3 linked regions of the Oryctolagus cuniculus genome follow. The protein of the gene in region 3 interacts with the protein of the main gene of each other region in a pairwise test. Links are inferred from orthologs where the notes say so. Each region holds a gene or a part of one and is shown on either strand. Other genes may lie near its edges. The genes, in order: PDLIM7, PSMF1 and PAK5.

Region 1 (6,535 bases), on a different chromosome or scaffold from region 3:
CAGGCTGAGGCGCTCCCCGCAAGCGCGGATCTTGTTCTGGGCTTCAATGTGCGTGAGGCCGCCTGCGTTCTCGCCGTCGATGCTCAGCACCCAGTCACCCACGGCCACGCCCGCCTGCGCTGCTTTGCCGCCGGGAGTGAGCTGTGGGGCGGGAGCAGGGGTCAGAGCCCGGAGACCCAGGCTGAGGCCGGCGGTCGTTGGCCGGACTGTCCTTGGTCGCAGGAAGCGAGAGCTGCGGGAGGCCCAGGGAGCTTCTCCAGCCTCCTGCTCACATGGCCTGCCCCTTGGGTCCAGAACCTGCTAGGACATCGGCAAACCACCTCAGGCCGAAACCAAGGCCTCTCGGCTACAGCCGCCCGCCCTCGTGCCACCGTGTCCCTGCCCCCTGACACCTCCCAACTCCCAGTCCTGGGGCCACCTGCGGGGACTGGGGCCCCGAGGGCCGGAGTGCCTGACCTGGGTTTCTTGGGCCATCAGTGGGCATTACCCCTAGGCCTCCACTGCCACTACAGCCCAGCCCTGTGGGCTCTGAGTTGGGAACTCCTGGTTCCTGTGGCAAACCAGGGGATGCCAGCAGGCTGGGAGGCCCGATCCCACCAGCACGAGCTGAAGCCTCCATGGAAATGGCCGGCCCCCCTGATGAAAGTCTCAGCTGTGGGGGAAGCACCTGGCCCCCACCTCAAGGGCAGGGGGGCACTAACAGTTTTAAGGAACTAGGGTGAGTATTTCCAATGCCACTGATAGACCTGACTCTGACAGACCCCACGGGGCCCTCCAAGCCCTGTAGCTCTACCCCACAACACAGCAAGGGTGGCTCTGGCTGCCCATGGGTCTGAGCCCACAGGGGGCCCTGAAAGCTCCTAGCTCCTGGGGTGGGGCTGTTCTAGAGAGAGGACAGAGACTGGGACGAGGAGGGGAGCTGGGCTTGCCGCTCAATTCCATGCTTGCGTGCGGTTAGAAGTGTGACAGCCCCGGGCAGTCCCTTCTTCACTGGCCAAGGACCAACCAGCAAGGATAGCAGCCTGCATTTAATGAGCACCTGGCATTGCCATAGATACTGAACTCTCCCACAAGCTTGGGGAGGAGTCTTCGATTATACAGTTTACACACGGGAAAACAGAGAGGTTAAGCAATTTGCCTCAAGTCACCCAGCTGATAAGAGGCAGAGACAGGAAGTGACCCTATCCCTAAGATTCTACCACTCTAGGCTATCTCTGCTGAATGGGGCGTACTGAGGGGTCAGTCCACCTGGAAGGACTCCCTCCTGGGCGGCTGGCTTTGGGACCCGGCTCCTGTATGTCCGTCCACCTTTGGTTCAGTCAGGTCTCTTACAGTGGGATGAGGAAGTGATGCCCTCGAGGGGAAGTGACTTACTCCCGGTCACCAGTGAGTCAGTAGAACCTGGCCCGGCCACTCCCTCCCCACACTGGGAGGTGCGGGTGAGCGTGTGGCGGGGGCCTTGGAGTAAGCCAGGATCAGCTGGCCCAGAGCAGGAATGAGGGTCAGGGACCACTTCCTTCCTGGGACTGGGAAGACAGGAAGTTTGAGGGGGTGGCGGGTGGTGAGTGGGAGTGGGGGGAGTGGAAGCAGAAGAGATGGGGAAGGCAGCTGGCAAAAAAAAAAAAAAAAAAAAGCAGGGAGCAGCTCAGGCCAGGGGCAGGGCAAGGCCAGAGAGACAAGGAGGAGAAAAGCCAGGGGGCTGGACACAGGAGAGGGGGGCGTGAGTCAGCCCAAGGGCTCCACTGGGCAGCCCAACCCCTCCCCCCACCAGTCTCAGACGTTACCTCATCTCCCAGGCCTGGGCCCACAGCCAGCCCTCGCCCCTCCCGCCTCCCTTCATTCTGGGGTCAGGAGAAGAGGAGGGGGCTGGCCCAACGCTGAAAAAGACCACTTCCATCCACCCACCACCAGGGCCTGGGTCCAACTCCAAGGCTGGGCTTAGCTGCTGGTCCCACCCCTGGGCTGGGGCGGCAGACAGGGGAGCCTGGGCCCACAGTGCCCCCCGCAGGCCACATCTGAAAGATCACTCTCATCAGCAAAGAGGTGAGGCGGAGACCAGTCCGACCAAGTCTCCCAGCCACATGGGGTGGCATTTTCCCAGGGAGGGGGATGCAGGGTAGGTTTCAGGGTGGAGTGTGTGTGTGTGTGTGTGTGTGTGTGTGTGTGTTAGGGACCTGCCTGCCCCAAAACTCTGCAGAAAGATACCGGGGGGCAGAACACTGCCTGCCCCGGCCACCAGGCCAAACCGCCACGAACAGACTCTGCCCTGGGCCTCTCTCAGACTGCCTGGTGCCTGGACAACACTCAGGCCCCTCAGGCTGGGCTTGCCCTGGGCTTCCTGCCAACAGCTGTCTGCCCACCAGGCGGCTGGGTGGGCCTCCCTGCACTGGCGGATGTAGGGGCAGGAAGTCCCCGCCCCCTCCTGACCCCCAGGCCAGAGAGAGAGAGAGAGAGAGGGACTGGCCCAAGTGCTGGCCTCACTGCTCTGGGCGGGTGGTTTCTTTTCTGGGTCCCAGGAGTCACAGCCTGGCCACCAGGGGAGGGGGCTCGGAGGTCCAGGCACAGGCCAGCCCTTTTCAGCTAGGTAGACTCCAGCCACTGTTGGCCATCCCAGCCTGGGGCTGCATTCTTGGGCTTATAAGGCAATCCCCCTGCCATGGGGAGGAGCCAGCCACCAGCTCCGCCCCACCAGGGCAGGCTCTCAGGAATTTGGGTCCCAGCCCTACAGCCTAGCCTCACCACACCTTCGCTCAGGGTCAAAGGCCACTACATCCTAAACCAGGACCAGTTGGATGGAGACACAGGTCCTCTCATTGACTTGGGGACCTGTAAAACCCGCAGGCTGTCCTTGCCCAGTTTCAAATCTCTGCTTTGCCGTGGACAAGCCCTCCACCATTCCAAGTTCCCTCCTTTGGACAAACAGGATGGCAGCTGCTATCCCCTAGGTGGCAGTGAGGCGGTGGTAAGATTCCACAGGGTGCTCTGCCTGGGGCCAGGCTCCCGAGCACTGTTCTCAAGTTTAGATCCTTGCTGAATTCATCAAGCTCCCTCCCACACCAATGGGCCTTCTCCCTTCTGCTCGGCCCCCAGAGGTGACCGCAGAGGCTCGGTGAAGTGGCATCAGGTACAGTGCACAGATATGGGAGTCTGGGGGCTCCACTCCCCTGTCTACCTAGGCAGGGGTCCTGGGAGTAGGCAGCCACCACTTTTCTGGACCTGGACAGACACCTCCTGGCCTGCTGACACCTGGGCCTCCTGCTTAGATTCCCCCTGGAGACCTGAGCAATCAAAGACAACCTTCCCACCCCACCGCCGCTATTCGGAGCCCCTCTCCCAACCAGGCTTACCCGGGAGATGGAGAGGGGCACATTGAAGTCCTTGCCCCCTTGCAGCCGGAAGCCCCACGGTGCTGGACCCTCTAGCAGTACTTTGAAGGAGTCCATGGTGTCGGCTCCTGAGAGGAGAAATGGGAAAGTGAGCGTCCCAGCTGCGGACGCTAGCCTTGAACAGGTGCCAAGCAGGCAAGACAGACACTGAGCGCACCCCAGGCCCGGGTGGGCACGTATCTGGCCAGGCTAGGCTGTGAGGCTGGCTGGCAGACCTCACTTCCAAAAAAAAAAAAAAAAACAGACAAGGGCAGCCCCCCGCCCAGGGCCTGGGAGGGTGAACCTTTCCCAGGCTTAAAGTTCTCGGTATCCACGGGTGGGACTAATTTGGCACGGCTTCCCCCCAAGCCAGCCTGGAGCCTCGGGCAGCGGGGTGAGTCAGGGGCCGGCTCTCGGCTCCCCCGCCCCCAGGTCCCGGCAGGCAGGCCGCGGCTGCAGCCTGCTCGGACTATATAAGGCGTGTAAGCTGATACTGCGCGGAGAGCAGTGGAGGGAGCCACGGGGGCTCCGCGCGAGGGGGAGGGGTACGGGCGCGAGGCGCCTGGAGCGCGTCCTGGCCATTCCAGGGCAGGTCGAGGCTTTTGGGAGCCGGGGCGGGACCCCTTGGGCGCTCTGAGCGGTTGGGGGCAGGAGTGGGACGAGTCTCCAGCGGAGAGCAGTGGGGACCCCAAAACGTGGCCAGGAAGGGGAGCTACGCTGGTGCCTCCCGCACAGGACTGTGCCCGCCCTGCCGTGACTCAGTTTCCCTCCAGCCCCCAGCCCAGGCACCATGCAGCGGCGCAGGCGCCAACCGGCCCCGCCACAAGCGGGCTTCGCCGCAGGAAGGCGGGGGCGGGGGCGGAGGCAGGGGCCGAACCCGCAGGAGCAGGCCCAGCGCCGGCCAAGACCCCCAGTGCGCTCCGTAGTCTTCAGAAGGCCCCCGGCCCCCGCCTGGTTCGGACCAAGAGCCCCGCGCGTCCGCCGGTACCTGCTCTGCCCCGCCGGGGCGCTGCTCCGCGGCGGGCTCCTAGGAGCCGCGCTGGAATCGGATCGGCAGACCGCGTTCTGGCCCCGCCCCCGCGGACACCGCCCGCTTTGAGCCTGTGGAAGGGGGCGGAGTGGGAGACCACGCCCTCCGCGTGTCCACACCCACAGGCGGTCGCTCTGCCGGGGGAGAGCCCCACCCAAGCTTTCCGCCTTGTCCAATCACGAAGCCCCGTCTGGCTCTGAGCACACGGCGCTGCCCGCCCCTTCTCCTTGAGCGGGGCAGGGCCTGGGCGGGGCCTGGCTGCGGGACGCCGCGTCGGGAGGACTTTGCTCCGCCCACGCCTCGCCCCGCCCCCTGCGCCTCCCGCCAGCAGGGGAGAGAGACCTTCGAAGCCAGGCCCCACTGGACGTTAGCCGTGTCCTCGGGAAAATGGGGCGCTAGTGCTCCCCAATTGGGGTTGCCAGAGGGTCGGTATGGGGGCGTCGGGGTGAGGAAGGATGAGAGGGACGAGGAGTGACCGTGCAGCTGCATTTGCCGTGGACAACCTGAGTGGACGAAGCTGGAGGGCGTCCTCGGCTCGGCCTCGCGCCGGTCTCCGGAGCTCGGAGCCCGGCCCCACGCGCAGCGCATGCACCGTGGTGAGCGCCCGGCGCCCACGCTCCTCCGCTTTACAGACATTCTCTCCTGAACCCACGCCCCTCCGCGGCCCCCAGTCCTAGAGGGGCACGCACTGGTCGCTGCGGCCCCGGTTGTTCCTGGTGACCTGTAGCAGTCTCCTAATGGGCCCCTGCTTTCACCCTGGTCCCCTCCGGGGCCTTCTCCAAGGACCAGCTCAACTGATACTGTTAAAGGGAACTCACACTCAGCTTTTAGCATTCCAGTAGGCTCAAAACTAAGCCTTAAGACTCATGTAACTTGGGGGCCACGCTGTGGCATAGCAGATAAAGCCGATATGGGCGCTGGTTCCAGACCTGGCTGCTCCACTTCCGATCCAGCTCTCTGCTATGGCCTGGGAAAGCAGTAGACAATAGCCCAAGTCCTTGGGCCCCTGCACCCACATGGGAGACCCAGAAGAAGCTCCTGGCTCCTGGCTCCTGGCTTCGGGTCGGCCCAGCTCTGGCCGTTGCAGTCATCTGGGGAGTGGACCAGCAGATGGAAGACCTCTCTCTCTCTCTTTCTCTCTGCCTCTCCTTCTCTCTGTGTGTAACTCTGACTTTCAAATAAATAAAGAAGACTCATATAACCGTAGTAAACAGGGCCCATTGCTCGCTCACTCTGCTCTAGCCAGGTGGCCTCCTCACTGTTCCTCCATGTGCCAAGGATGTTCTGGCCTCAGGGCCTTTACACGGATCATTCTGGCTGCTTTCAGTTTGCTCAAGTCTCCGCTGAGATGCTGCCTGCTCTAAGGGGTCTTCCCTGGTCACCATCTGTAACAGCAATTCACAGTACACACTGGTCCTTTTACCCTGCTTTTAAAGTTTTTATTCCATTTGCTGGTTCACCCCCAAAATGTCCAAAACAGCTAGTGCTGGGTCAGGTTGAAGCCGGAAGCCCGGAATTCCATCCAGGTCTCCCGCATAGGTGACAGGGACCCAAGGACTTTAACCATCAACTGCTGCCTCCCAGAATGTGCATTAACAGGGAGCTGAATCAGAAGAGTAGATGGAGCCAAACCAGGCACCCTGATGAGGGGCGTGGGGTGCCCCAAGAGGGGGGACTTAGCCTCTGTGCCCAACACCCGCCCCTCTTATCCCCTTGCACTTTCCACCCTCTGATGTTAAACATTTGTGTCTTTCAAAAAAAAAACAGATTATTTGAAAGGCAGAGTTACAGAGAGGCAGGGGCAGAGGTCTTCCATCCACTGGTTCACTCCCCAAATGGCCGCAACAGCCAGAGCTGGGCCAGTCCAAAACCAGGAGCCTCTTCGGAGTCTCCCATATGGGTGCAGAGGCCCAAGGACTTGGGCCATCTTCTACCTACTATCCCAGACCATAGCAGAGAGCTGGCTCAGAAGTGGAGCAGCTGGGATTCAAACCGGCACCCATATGGGATGCCGGCACTGCAGGCGGCAGCTTTACCCACTGTGCCATGTTTGTTTCTTAGTTGTTGCCTGTTCCCATCAGAATGTCAGTCCCCGGTGTCGCTCCCCCTCTTCGTGGAGGAACGACACTAAGCCCTGCCT
Region 2 (6,013 bases), about 7.7 Mb from region 3:
CCAGACAAGGCATGTGGGTTTTACAGGAAAGGAAAGGGGAGCACATGAGGAAGACATCCCTGGCATTCAAGATCACCCCAGCCGCTTAGCAGGCCACTTTTCCGCTGGGAGGTACTTCCCCAGTGGGTCCAGCCCCGGCCTGTTTCCTGACAGCTTAGAGCAGCTGGTTCTTCCCTGCAGCTGATCAGCAGGTGAGCACTAGAAGCTTGCATTCAGAGGCCCTGGATGAGGCGAGGCTGCCTCAGAAAGTCTATGGGAAATGAGATTAAAAGGGAAGTTTATTTCTATGCAAACATATTTTAAAATCCATGCATACAAGAGGTCTTCAAAAATGTCATGAAAAATGCAGTTATGAAAAAAGTATGTGTGATTTCAAAGATTTTTTGCATCATAACATTTTTTATTGCATTCCCTCCCCCCACAATGTTTCAAAGTATCCTTGTACAAAAATGACTTGCATTTGAATGCCCATAAGTTCATCTCCACACATCCAAACTGAGGGTCGGCCAAGGGGGCTCTGAGGGAGGTGACGGACCCCCTGTGTTGTTTTTGTCAGATTCTAAGCTTGTGCATTGTGAGTTCACCAAAATGTGCGTGGGTTGTAGTGACTGCTGAATGTGCTGTGAAATTTCAAGGGCGCAGATTAGCAGAGTGGAACTTGTGGCTGCCTTTCTAGCCTTCACTGTTGTCTTTCTTCTCCCTTCCCACACGCTGTGGTCCAGAAATTAGGAGCAGTCAAGGCCCTTTACTTGGAGGCGTTTTAACAGCCACCAAAAGCCCCCCTGTTTCCATTCTGTAGTGGGCAGGGTGCCCTCTGGCACCGCCTGGTCTGTCTCCAGTGAGGCAGGATGTCGGAGGCCACCAATAACATTGACTACTAGCTCCGTGAGCCGTGGCCTGGGAACAATAACCTAGGTCACGAATAATTCCTTCCTTTGGAAACCTGGCCTGATCTGCTTCAGTTGCAATATCCTTTTCAGCCCATTAGGTGAAACCGATGGAGAAGCGCCTGTTTGGATTTCTTCCCAGTTCTCTAATTAATGGCTTCTTTCCTGTAAGTGTAGGGTAGCTGCTGTGTATCAAGCGACCCTGTGTTCTGGCAGGAGCTGCGGGAACCCCAGAACTGTTGGCTTTGTACTGCTTGCAGAGCTCCAAGCAGATTCCAAAGCACATTTTCTTCAATACTAATTCTCTGCCTTACTGTATACAGATCCTGTATAGAAAATCACAGGAGGGTGTGGAGAAGAAACTCCCCATCCAGGAGTGCTGTCACTGTTTACACTCTGAGAATGCCTCTTTGTAGCTCTGTTTACACATACACGCCCCCACACACGTACTTTTCACAGTTGATTTCCCATTGCTGTTGATAATCCTCCCCACACCCGCACTTCACACTTGAGAAAAAGCATTTTGAAAACATTCTGAGGACATTGTTTCTGTTGTTTCCATGGCTGCATTTAGGAGTATACCACGTGATACCAGACTGGTCCCCATTTAAGCTGATGCCAATTTCCTTGCTTAAAGTCTTTGTTAGATATATTTTCATTTGAATTCTGTATTCTTAATTTAAGATGGATACTTAGGCATTTAACTATTGGCTCAATATAAAGCTACACAAGACTTCCAAAAGCCAGGTTCTATTTTGTGTATGCATTAGAGAGAGGATGTTGAGTTGTCCTCCAGAAAGTAGCCACTCCTTTTCACAGCTCACAGTGTCAGTGAAGGCAAAAACAGGCTTTGTGGGGGGACTGGAGAGGAGACTGTTGAGAACTGACAGTGGCTGTGGCCCATGACGCTCCAGAGGGCTCCAGTGCCTAAACAGTGCAGTGTAGTAGTGGAAGAGCTCATGCAAGACCCACGGTGAACAAACATAAGAGGCACAGCTCCGGCTGCTGAGACTCCGTGCCTTTGTTACTCCTGGGAAGCATTTAAACCTGAGCTTTGGGGTTTGGGTTTTAGAATAACTTTCTGATGAAAAGTTCTTTGTTCATTATACAGAGAAAGGGTCGAATAAAATAGAATTTATGTGGAGGTTACCATTGTTAATATTTTTAGCTTTAAACAGGCAGATTCTCCATGTGGTTAGCTTTGTGATGAGCCCTTTTCACGTAATTGCTGCTATAATACTGGTATTCATCTGTGCCAAGGACCCCTTGGAAGGATCCCTTCCTTGTGTTACGGTCTCTTGCAGGGACCCGTCCCCCTTGCCTGGAAGTGCCTTTCTGACCCTGCAGGCATTGGGTTCGAGCCCCTGGCTGCCTGGCGCCTGGCTGCTCTGTGACGTGTGGTAATTGTTCCTTGTTTGTTTCAGGTGTGATCCCCTGGGCCCGTTTGCCGTCGGGGGAGAAGACCTAGACCCCTTTGGGTGAGTACTGCTGGGGAGGTGGCAGCAACCTAACCGGCTCCCGTGGCTTCTCAGCCCCAGCTCATCTTCTAATTTGAGGCTTTCCTTTGGGGTGGAGGAGGAAGCTGTTGCCAAGCGGCTGAGCAAGCCCTGGTGTTGACTGTGCGTCGTGCCCATAGCAGCGCCCGAGTGCAGCACGGGGGCCGCCTCAGGATTGCCCAGGCACTGATGGAGGAGCACACAGTGGGCCGCTGAGTTGAACGTTGCTCAGGGTTGTTGTGAGGTTGCCCCGCTAGATAAAGGGAGTCTTTGAGCCTCGTTAGACTGTCTGTGATCCTTGCCATACACCCCATAAAGTTACTGCTGCCTCGGCTATGCACTGTCTGCTCTGCAGAATTCAGACTGGATTTAGCCTCTGCTGCAAGGTGACCCCAACTTAGACATCTCCTCTTTAGATAGAGGGGAAGTCACTTAACTCTCCAGTGCAGCCTGAACAGTGACCTCGGGGGAATAGCAGCTCACTCTCCTAGTTGGAGCATGTGAGGTCAGGTTCATGGAACTCCTTGGGGGACAGATGCTGTCAGGAGCCAGAATTGGGCAACCTACAGGCAGGCTCAGATGGCTCTGAGGCCCAAAAGGGAAACAGAGCCAAAGAAACTGGCTTCATGGGTTGTTTTTAGTTATTAGTCCTTCAACCTAACATATGCCCTGTAGAGCCTTGTGACAGCTCTGTATTGACCTTAGCCAGTTCCAGCTCCTGTTCTTGATCAGATCACCCCGCTTGGGTATAGGACATAACAAGGGTTCTCAGTAGGCTCAGGGAGGCCTACAGAACCAAAAGTACAGTCCCTTAGCATTCTTGCTTTTGCCAGCTTCCTGCTGGCTTTCAGGCACCATTCACATGACTGTCAGACCCTCAGAGTGGACACGGTCAGTCTTCATCCACGCCCCCTTTCTTCACCTTTGCTTGAAGGGCAGTCCTTGCCATGGCTGCTTACCCAGTTTGCCTTCTTGCCTCAGGTGTCGGAGAGGTGGCATGATTGTGGATCCCCTGAGATCTGGCTTCCCAAGAGCACTTATTGACCCATCCTCAGGCCTCCCGAACCGGCTTCCGCCAGGCGCTGTACCCCCAGGAGCTCGCTTTGACCCCTTTGGACCCATTGGGACCAGCCCATCAGGGTAGGTATTCACCCAGGTATGCTGAGAAGCGGGACCTGATGGCAGTTCAGTTCCGTGTAGTGGCAGCTAAAGTCTCTGAAACCAGGAGCAGAGTTGCCATTGCCTCCACCCACTGATGCCGAGACGGTAGAGCCTCTACCGTGGTGCTGTCTGCTGCCTCCATAGAGCCTTCCAGGAGCTCGCCATCTCTGAGTGCCTCCCTTCCCCTAGCTCCCCTCCAGGGAGGACTCAGAAGGAGGAAGAGCTACCCCTAACTAGAAGTTAAGCATGTGTCAGACTCATTGTATCCTCTGTCAGCAGTCTTGGGTAGGTGGTACTATCCTCATGTTTATGGATGCAGACATTGAGGCTCTGAAAGCTGAGGTCACTGACCCCGGGTGAGGGACTCAGAAATCAAACCCAGGCTCTTGAGTCGTGGTCTGAACTGCCGCGCTCCACCACAGCACCCTGGGGGCAGGCTCCATCCGCCTGTGTGCTCCGGCCCCTCCCGCACTCCGACTCACCAGCCCCTCTTTCCATTCCAGACCTAACCCAGACCATCTCCCCCCGCCGGGCTACGATGACATGTACCTGTGAAGGCCTCAAGAATGTAACATCCCAGCCTTCTCTCCACTCTCCTGGAGCTGCCACCACTGGCCCCGTCAGCAACCGTGTTCTTGCGGGCTGGGGCCCAGGGACTCTGCCCATGTGTTTGCTGGCCGGCTGGGGTTGCCTCCCCTCCCCTTATCAGAGCTGAGGCACTTGCTGCAGCTCTCCACCCGGCTGCCTTAGGTCCCAAAGATCTCACACCATCAGCTCCTCCCTACTTTCCAAGGGAGCCTCCGGCAACATAAACCCTCCACCCGACGGAGTCCCAGTCACAGCGCTATAAGAACAGAACGCATTTTGGATGTTATTATGAAGAACCAAATGTCAATACAAAATTCACGTTGCCGGTCTCTCACTTTTCTTTTTGCTTTGATGCACACAGCTCCTTCTGGTGACAAGGCTTTAGAGTTTTAGTCTTTGTAGGGCCCAGCAACTCTCTTCCCGCCCAGGGCCTGCTCTTGCTTCTCAGGCACTTGCGCTCATAAACTGCTGTTGCTCCTGAGATCGCTAAGATGGGTCCGACTCCTTGGATAGAAAATGAGTGACTAGAAATGCACTGGTCTCCTAGGACAGGGCAGGCACACTGTGGAAAGACTGCATCACTCTGACAAGGGCACAGTCCTCCCGTATTCCTGTTCTGGGCCGGCCCTCAGCTCCATCTGCCCCTGGGCAGCAGTAGCCTGATAAGCAGAGGAATAAACAGAACAGACCTAGAGGCTAATCTCATTTTTGCCCTAACTCACTGAGTGACCCTAAGCAAGTCCCACCTTTTAGGCCTCTCGCCCACCTATGAAATGAGAGATCCTTCCCTGCCCTGAAACATCAGTGCTGCTTTCTCTGGCTGGGGCCCCTAGGAACTGGGCCGAAGGAGCAGACTGAAAGTCAAGGCTCTCTGGTACTGCTTACTGAGTCTCCCTCTCTCTCGTCCCTCGCCCAGTCAAGATCACGGCAGCATGGGCTCTGTCTGAGTGTGGTGGTGAAATTCGGGAGGAACAGGGAGCCCCAGCTCTGGAAGCCACTGTCCTGTGTCCATGCCCACCTGACATTTGGTGTTCTCCAGATCCTTTTCAGGCTGAGGCCTGCCACGTGGGCAGTGATGAGCCCCTGTGCTACAGTGGAAAGAGCACCCTACAGCTGCGGTTCAGAGGCACAGGTCCAGGCACTAGTCACTTTGGCTTCCCCACTGGCGTTTCAGATGTGTGGGGGTCCTTTTACTTCTCAGCTTTTCTGATCCCTCCCGGCAGTTAGGACGTATTGCTTGCTTGTGGGCAGTAGGCTCCTGTAGCTTTGCTGAAGCACTGCTAGGCTGTTTCTATGCTGCTCCTCTGCTCAGCCTGAGGATGGGTAGCAGTAAGCTAAACTGACCCTCAGGCCCAGGGTGGGAGGCTTGCAGGAGCAGGCCCTTTCCATGTCAAACACCAAGACGCCAGAGGTAGCTGACAGCTTTGAACCCCTTAGAACATTTGTGCACTTAGGGAAAGACCCAGATATCAGGCAGAGGCACAGATGCCATCCTTGCTCATAACCTCCTTCCTTGAGGGCTGGTGGGTTAGTGAAATATGAGTTCTGGTTTGGGAATCAGATCATACCTGTAACCAAAGGGATCGGGAGCGATTTGCTCATGAAAGCATCCTTTATTATAACAGGAAGCATCTGTAAAAGGAACATCAGACTGGAGACATCAGGCAGGGAGGGTAGATCAGTGTGTCTGATTCAAGGAAAAAATAAGATTAATAATAAATTTTCCACTTACGTTTTCTAGAGCAAAGTTTGAAAATACAATCATACACATACTTCTGTTTTCTGAAGCAGAAAATATAGTGATTCCTCTTCAGAATCAGTTGTTTGTTACGTGGGTCTCCCTGTATCAAGGAGGAGCACAGGCCATGTCTTAGATGTTGC
Region 3 (6,790 bases):
ACCCAAGCATCCTGAGGGGCTAGCCCAAACTGTCACAGCCTGAATCACATCTTAGTTTCTACCTCTGTCCATTCCAGATTGTGGGTGATTTCTCACCCACAGGTGTTGGTCTCTAATCAACAGTGTCAAGAAAGGATATTATATACAAAGAAAACCTTTAGTCCTTTTCGTAATGCAGTATTTCTAGAAATAATATTAGTTTTCATCTGTAATTTTTACCTTGCATACTTCCAAAATGAACCATAGTCCTCACATTGAATCAGTAGTAACAACTGCACAAATGTCACCTTTATCACTATTGAAGTGATTAAAGTTCAGTATTTCAAATCAGAATTTTAATTGATACCAACCAATCATAAATAGACCACAGTGCAGTACTTTCTGTTTTTTTTTTTTTTTGCATCAGTGTGAGCACACATACAAAGAAGTAAAAGTAGAAGCTATTTATGCAAAAAATTATAGGTGTATCAATGAGGATGGTGGGGGGGGCAGTGTTTTCAGGACTATATATGCAGCTTTGAAAGAGTAGAGATGAGTTTAAAGAATCCTACCCTTTAAATGGAAAATCAGAATATGACAGACCTGGACATATTTCTTCTTTACATATACAAATGTTAGAGAAGAAAAGTAATCATTCATTCATCCTGTGGTTCCGGTTTCCAGATGGCAGCTACTATATTGAGGGTACTGAGAAAACAGAGAACAAGCAAAGGGGAAATGATAAATATGCTGCTAACTAGACATCTGTCTAAAGTGATTGAGTATAATGGGATCCTAAGAGATATAGATCCTTATTTTGTAAACTGCTCTCCAGTTATGGGATCAGATACCATACGTACCTGCTCATAAGTTGGAGTGGCGGAGGACAGGCAAGGGTGTGAGTTCTTAATTTCCAAGGCTAAAGGCTCACAACTAGTTTGTAACTTTCTCTCACGTTAGAAGGAGCAGCAAGCATTGTTGATAATTCCAGGTGTTTCCAAGTATTTGGGAGGGAAGTGGGCAACTGGGGGATTTAAGATGAACCACAGGTCAGCCCCAACATCACTTAGCAAAAAGGCCTGTCATCTCTTAGACCAAAACACCCTTCAATCGCCATCATCTGTTGGGCTTCCTATTGGTCAAGCCCAGCTTGGCATTACACCTTATGAGAAATTGACATCCCCACACTCCAGGAAAAGCAGGGGACAGCCAAGCCAGACTGGCTCAGATTTGAGTGGAGCAGTTACACTTGCAACCAGTTTGCTAGCCCATTAGTAAAGTGAGGGTGAAGAGATGCCAGAACCACCTCTCTGGTAGGCGCAAGATTCTAAATCAGAAAGTAGCCAATTTGGGTTGGGCGGCCAACGCCTGGCCCTGCATAGAATCCTTTCAGGATAGCTGTGGCACCCTCAAGGACACACTTTCCCTTGGGTCTCCAAGCCATCTGAAGGCAGAAAGGGTTTCTGTGGACACCAGAGGCCATGGAATATTATGGGAAACATTTCTCTGTAGAGAAAAATATTATTACCTCAGATCTTTGTCTCACATGGAAGAAAAATTTCCAAGTGGACAAGCAGAGATTTAAAAAAAAAAAGATTTTATTTATTTATTTGAGAGGTAGAGTCACAGACAGAGAGAGGGAGAGACAGAGAGAAAGGTCTTCCTTCCGTTGGTTCACTCCCCAGATGGCCGCAGCAGCCAGAGCTGTGCCAATCCAAAGCCAGGAGCCAGGTGCTTCTTCCTGGTCTCCCATGCAGGTGCAGGGGCCCAAGGACTTGGGCCATCCTCCACTGCTTTCCCAGGCCATAGCAGAGAGCTGGATGGAAAGAGAGGCAGCTGGGACTCGAATAGGCGCCCACATGGGACGCTGGCACCATAGGTGGAGGATCAACCTAATGTTCCACGGAGCCTGCCCCAAGCAGAGAGATTTAAAAGCAAGATGTATTAGAGTTAAAAGACATCCAGCCAGAGTGGCATGGAGGGGGATCCAAGAAAGGAAAAAACTCGAAGTGGTCCGTGGCAGTTGAGTTTTTAAGCACATTTTTTTGGGGGGAGGAGAGGGAAACTTGGCAATCAGATTGACATTCAGTTACAAGGTGGAGACAAAACCTTTTTTGCAGTCCTTTACCTTGTCTGGCTTGCTCCTGATAAAACAAAAGAGCCATCACAAGGGTGGGATACCTAATTTATTTTACAGTAAACTGGGAGCTCAGAAGGGTGGAGTCCCCACTCCCTTGCTAGTCTCAAGATAATACTGGAAGCTCCCAAGGAGTGGGCAGGCTTGAACTTCTGACCTTGCTAAGGATAACTTTCCTGGGGAACGTTTTCCAGCCTCAGTTTCCAGGCTGCCTATAGAACCATCTGACTCCTCACAGCTAGACCCACGGAGGCACTGGCCAGTCACAGGTTGGGTGCTCTGGATCCTGGTTACTGCAGAGCGCTGGGAGGATCAGCGGACCCACCCCACCTGCGAAGTCGTTGGGCTTGCAGAGTCTCGGGCCCCAGCCAATTGAATGCGAATCTGCATTGTAAGTCACAGGCACACGGAAGTTGGAGAAGCCCTGGTCCAGGTGGTGGCAAAGAGGCCTGCATACTGATGAGCCTCTCAGCACCCCCCCCCCCCCCATTTCCACAGGCCTCCAAAGCTCCGCTCCGCCCTGCAACGGACCTGCCCAACATTTCTGCAAACCCCGAGTGTGTGCGGAGGGGCGTGCAGGAGTTCCCCTAGCCGAGGAAAGCCGACGGAAAGTAGGATGGGATCGGCTGCTTTCTACAGCTCTCCAGTGTAGACACTCCCCCCTCCCCCCATCTATGCCCTCCCCCCCCCTCCACCCTCCCCACCCCCAGCAGCGGCCGCGGCCTGCCCCCAGCCGGCTGCCGCGAAAACCCGGAACAGCTGCTTGCGCTCGTGGACAGTCCTCTCAGGGCGAAGCCCGACAGCTGGGCATGCTCAGTAGCTGGCGGAGGTTTGGGTGGAGAGTAGAAAGCTTTGGCTCTGCCTCCCACCCCCTCCCTCCGGCCCCCGCCCCCCTTGCCCCTACCCAGCCCGTAGTAGTTCCCCAGCGTGCGCCCGGAGAGACCGGGAACATGGCGCTCGGAGCGATGGAGCAGCTGAGGAGACGCGGCTGAGGCACCGCCGCTTCGCTGACAGACAAGCGCCAGGTAGGCGAGCGCGTCTGGCGGGGCTGCTCGGGTGGAGAACGGCGCGAGGAGGGGCGCCGGCGGGGATGCGCACGGCTGGTACCCAGGGCATCCTGCCTTGTCGGGGAAAGGATGCGAAGCGGACTCTGACAGCGCGATTGTGCATCTCCCAGAAGATGCCAAAGGCTGGGGACCGGCTGCCTGGATGGAGGGGAGGGATCCGGGGACCGCCCACTCCCCAACCCCCAGCCCATGCGCTACTACCCAGCCTGGGCTCTCCACGGGTCAAATAAAGGGTAGTTCCTCTCTGCCGGGCGGGAGGGCGTGCGGGAGAAGCCGGGAGACCAACCCTGGGAGCGCGCTGGTACCCCAAACCGCTAGCCAGCCCCGCACCGGTTCTTTGTGTAGACAGCGGCTGGGTTTGCCAGGGCGCCTGCTTCTCCCAGAGAGCGCTGGTCAGAGCGCCAGGGCAGGGTTCCCATATGGTGTTTGTCTTTTGGGCAGGTGTGGACTGGAAGATGCAATAGCTGAGCCTGTGTGGGGCTGTGTTTCTCTTTGTTATTTGCCTCGGTGTGCCTGCGCGCGTGGTGGGTTGTAATGGAGACAGACAACTTCTTCTGTGGGCACCAGTGCGGGCAGAGTGAGGAAGAGGATCTCGGTTCCAAACTCTTGTGAAAATTGTATGCCGTGTCAGCTTCCTGGAGGGTGAACTTGAAAAGTCTGGGGACCCTCTGTGCCCAGTTTGGAGGAGAAGTGTTCGCTCTTCCTCAAACCATGTGTGTGTGCTCCGGAGCTTTTAGCACGAGATGTGAGTTAATTCGTCAGCATCAGATGCTAATTATTTGAAGCATCAGCGCCAAGGCCAGAGTCATGAAGAAAAAGAGAAATTGACACAAAGCCAGTAAAGTGTCATCCTTAATAGCTGATGACAGCTTGGAAAGCGGGATATACTTTTGGGGCAATCAGGGAACGTGACATTCCACAGGGTTCTACCAAAACCCAGCCAGAGTCTTAGGTACCTCACAGGATCTCTCCGCCCGTGCTTTGCTCTTCCCGGGTTGAGTGGCGTGCACTCTGTCTTACCTGAGTCCCGATGGACCCGATGCTCTCCAGGAGCTCCGTCTACAGTAGGAATCTTTCACAGTGGCACTGGCAGAACAGCTTTGTACATCAGTTCTGTTCAGCAGCACAACTCACTGCGTTGGGGTGCAAAGGTAAATTTAAGTCATGCTTTATTTTTTGCTTTATAATATAAAGAGTAGACATCTGTGAATATGAAGTTTGGAGACACTTCCCTCCACCCTTTCTTTTTTTTTTTTTATGATCTTGTTAGGTGGGAAGAGTTAGTTTAATCAGAATGAAATGGGGGCTGCTTGAGGAAAAGGCATTTCAATTAAAGCCATTAACGTCCAATCTGATGGGTACTACTTGGAGTTGGGATAAATATATGCAAACCAGAAATGCTGCTAATGCAAGCAAGGGAATGTGCTTCGAGGCCATTGCTAGCATTGGCCAGTGTTCCTCTGTGATTGAGTAGATTGTACTCAGTCTCTGCAACTTGTTATTTTGTGAGTTTTAAATGCAGGTACTCCCTCTCCTTCACTTTATCAGAGCTTGCTGAAACACTGCCAGCTGAGAAGCAGGGGTTCCAGGTTATGGTATCGTGTTCTTTTTAAAAGATACTTATTTGAGAGGTGGAATTACAGACAGAGAGAAAGGTCTTCCATCCGCTGGTTCACTCCCCAGATGGCTGCAGTGGCCAGAGCTGAGCTGATCCAAAGCCAGGAGCTTCTTCCAGGTCTCCCATGCAGGTGCAGGAGCTCAAGCACTTGGGCCATCTTCCATTGCTTTCCCAGGCAATAAGCAGAGAGCTGCATTAGAAGAGGAGCAGCCAGGACACCCATATGGGATGCTGGCACCGGAGGCAGAGGCTTATTCTACTAGGCCACAATAGATATAGTCTTGGTTGATAACACAGAGCTGACTTTGCCCCGGCCTCTTTCAAGTTTAGATTTGTGGTCATGGGAAAGCTGTTTAACTTTCCCAAGCCTCAATTTTCTCATCTGTGAAACAGGCTTAGGAATAGTAGGACGTACTAAATGAGTAGGTATGAAGATTACTTATAAACCACCATAAAAATAGTGATGACCATTAAGAGAAAAGACATGTATGTTTATTGAACCCCCATTCTGTGCCCTGTATGAAACAAGGTTGTTTCAAATAGGTGATTTCATTTAAATCTTTGCAACCATTTTACTTCCTAGGGCTTCCATAGCAAACAACCGCACACTTGGCAGCTAAGAACCACAGAAACTGACCCTGTCCCAGTTCTGGAGGCTGGAAGTCCAAAAGCAGAGTCCACAGGACCTCGCTCCCTCCAAGGTCCTAACAGGGGATCTTCCTTTGCCACTTTCAGGTTCTGGCAGCCCCAGGTGTTCTTGGATATAACTTCAGTCTCTGCCGCTGTCTTCATGGGGCACATTCTTTCTGCGTGTCCTTGGATAAAAAACAATTCATCTTCATGTAAGGACATCATTCATATGAATTTAGGATGCACTCTAAATTAATATGACCTCCTTGTGATTACTTCTATGAGTAACTGATTCCCAAACAAGGTCTCATTCACAGCTTCTGGGTACACATGAATGTTTGGGAGACGCTTCTAAGGCCATTACAGCAACATAGACTGAAGAATTGTGTGTAATCACAACACAAGATGATGTCAACATAAGAGCAGAATATAAAGATAGAATAAAATGAGTTTAGAAAAAACTGAAGGACTGTTAAAACAATCTATCTAAGGTTTTATATCCCCAACTATGTTAGAGAAAACAGTATTCAAAAGTACGTCATTTATACAATGGTACTTCAGAAAACGTTTGTCAAAAAATGGCATTAAAAGACTACTTTTGCTGAAAAATTTTGAAATTTGTGCATAGAAATGTGTCCAAAATGTTCAGAGTATTCTGAATCTGCTCCGATTCTAGTTTCCTGCTAATGTGGACCCTGGGTGGCAGAAAATGATGGTTCAAATACTTGCATCCCTGCCATCCATGTGGGTGATTTGGATGGAGTTATCAGCTCCCAATTTTGATCTGGCCCAGCCCTATCCATGGCAGGCATTTGGGGAGGGGATCAGTGGGTCAGAGCTCTCCCTCTTTTCTCTTTTTACTTCTCTCTCTGTCAAATAAAAATATGCTCATGGGAAATGCATATTATGGGAATTATACTTGGGTTTCAAAAAACTTTTGCTCTGAAATAAACAGCCTTTAATGATACTTTTCCATTAACTTTTTGAAGTGCCCTCATGCATATCACTTATCTGGAAACCAAGACAATGTAGTACCAGGTCTTCTAGAGGCTTCTCAAAATGTAATCTTTCCAAACTGACTTCTGGAAGTTGCTGCTGCCTTGTTTTGCTACACTATTAACACTTGGAAAAGCAAACCAAAACAATAACAGCAACAAATATATCCTTACACTTTCTAGTCTTTGCTGATATCTTTTCATGTTAACATAATATTAATACAAAGAACAGATTCAATGTAATTCATAGACACAATTCTGAGAACATAAGGATATTCCCTTCCTCCCTCCCACCTTTCCTTTCTTCCTTCCTTCCTTAGTTCTTGAGATAACATATTTTTAATTAACATTATCCTGATGAATA

The links.
Region 1: the proteins of PAK5 (region 3) and PDLIM7 interact in a two-hybrid assay, tested with the Homo sapiens proteins (2 studies listed by BioGRID and IntAct). The two-hybrid records come from large-scale screens. The link is inferred for Oryctolagus cuniculus from reciprocal best matches to the Homo sapiens genes PAK5 and PDLIM7.
Region 2: the proteins of PAK5 (region 3) and PSMF1 interact in binary tests that used the Homo sapiens proteins (3 or more experiments, as listed by UniProt). The two-hybrid records come from large-scale screens. The link is inferred for Oryctolagus cuniculus from reciprocal best matches to the Homo sapiens genes PAK5 and PSMF1.

Annotation. Positions count from the first base shown.
Region 1 is NC_091437.1:63,488,074-63,494,608, forward strand, and holds the start of PDLIM7 (PDZ and LIM domain protein 7), read right to left. Parts: upstream 4,508-6,535; 5' UTR 4,354-4,507; intron 3,812-4,353; exon of another isoform or gene 3,544-3,811; intron 3,455-3,543; 5' UTR 3,444-3,454; coding exon 3,348-3,443; intron 142-3,347; coding exon 1-141. UniProt on the Homo sapiens protein: May function as a scaffold on which the coordinated assembly of proteins can occur. May play a role as an adapter that, via its PDZ domain, localizes LIM-binding proteins to actin filaments of both skeletal muscle and nonmuscle tissues.
Region 2 is NC_091442.1:27,108,647-27,114,659, forward strand, and holds the end of PSMF1 (proteasome inhibitor PI31 subunit), read left to right. Parts: intron 1-2,311; coding exon 2,312-2,365; intron 2,366-3,364; coding exon 3,365-3,523; intron 3,524-4,047; coding exon 4,048-4,099; 3' UTR 4,100-4,461; downstream 4,462-6,013. UniProt on the Homo sapiens protein: Plays an important role in control of proteasome function. Inhibits the hydrolysis of protein and peptide substrates by the 20S proteasome. Also inhibits the activation of the proteasome by the proteasome regulatory proteins PA700 and PA28.
Region 3 is NC_091442.1:34,779,283-34,786,072, reverse strand, and holds the start of PAK5 (serine/threonine-protein kinase PAK 5), read left to right. Parts: upstream 1-2,835; 5' UTR 2,836-3,141; exon of another isoform or gene 3,142-3,374; intron 3,375-6,790.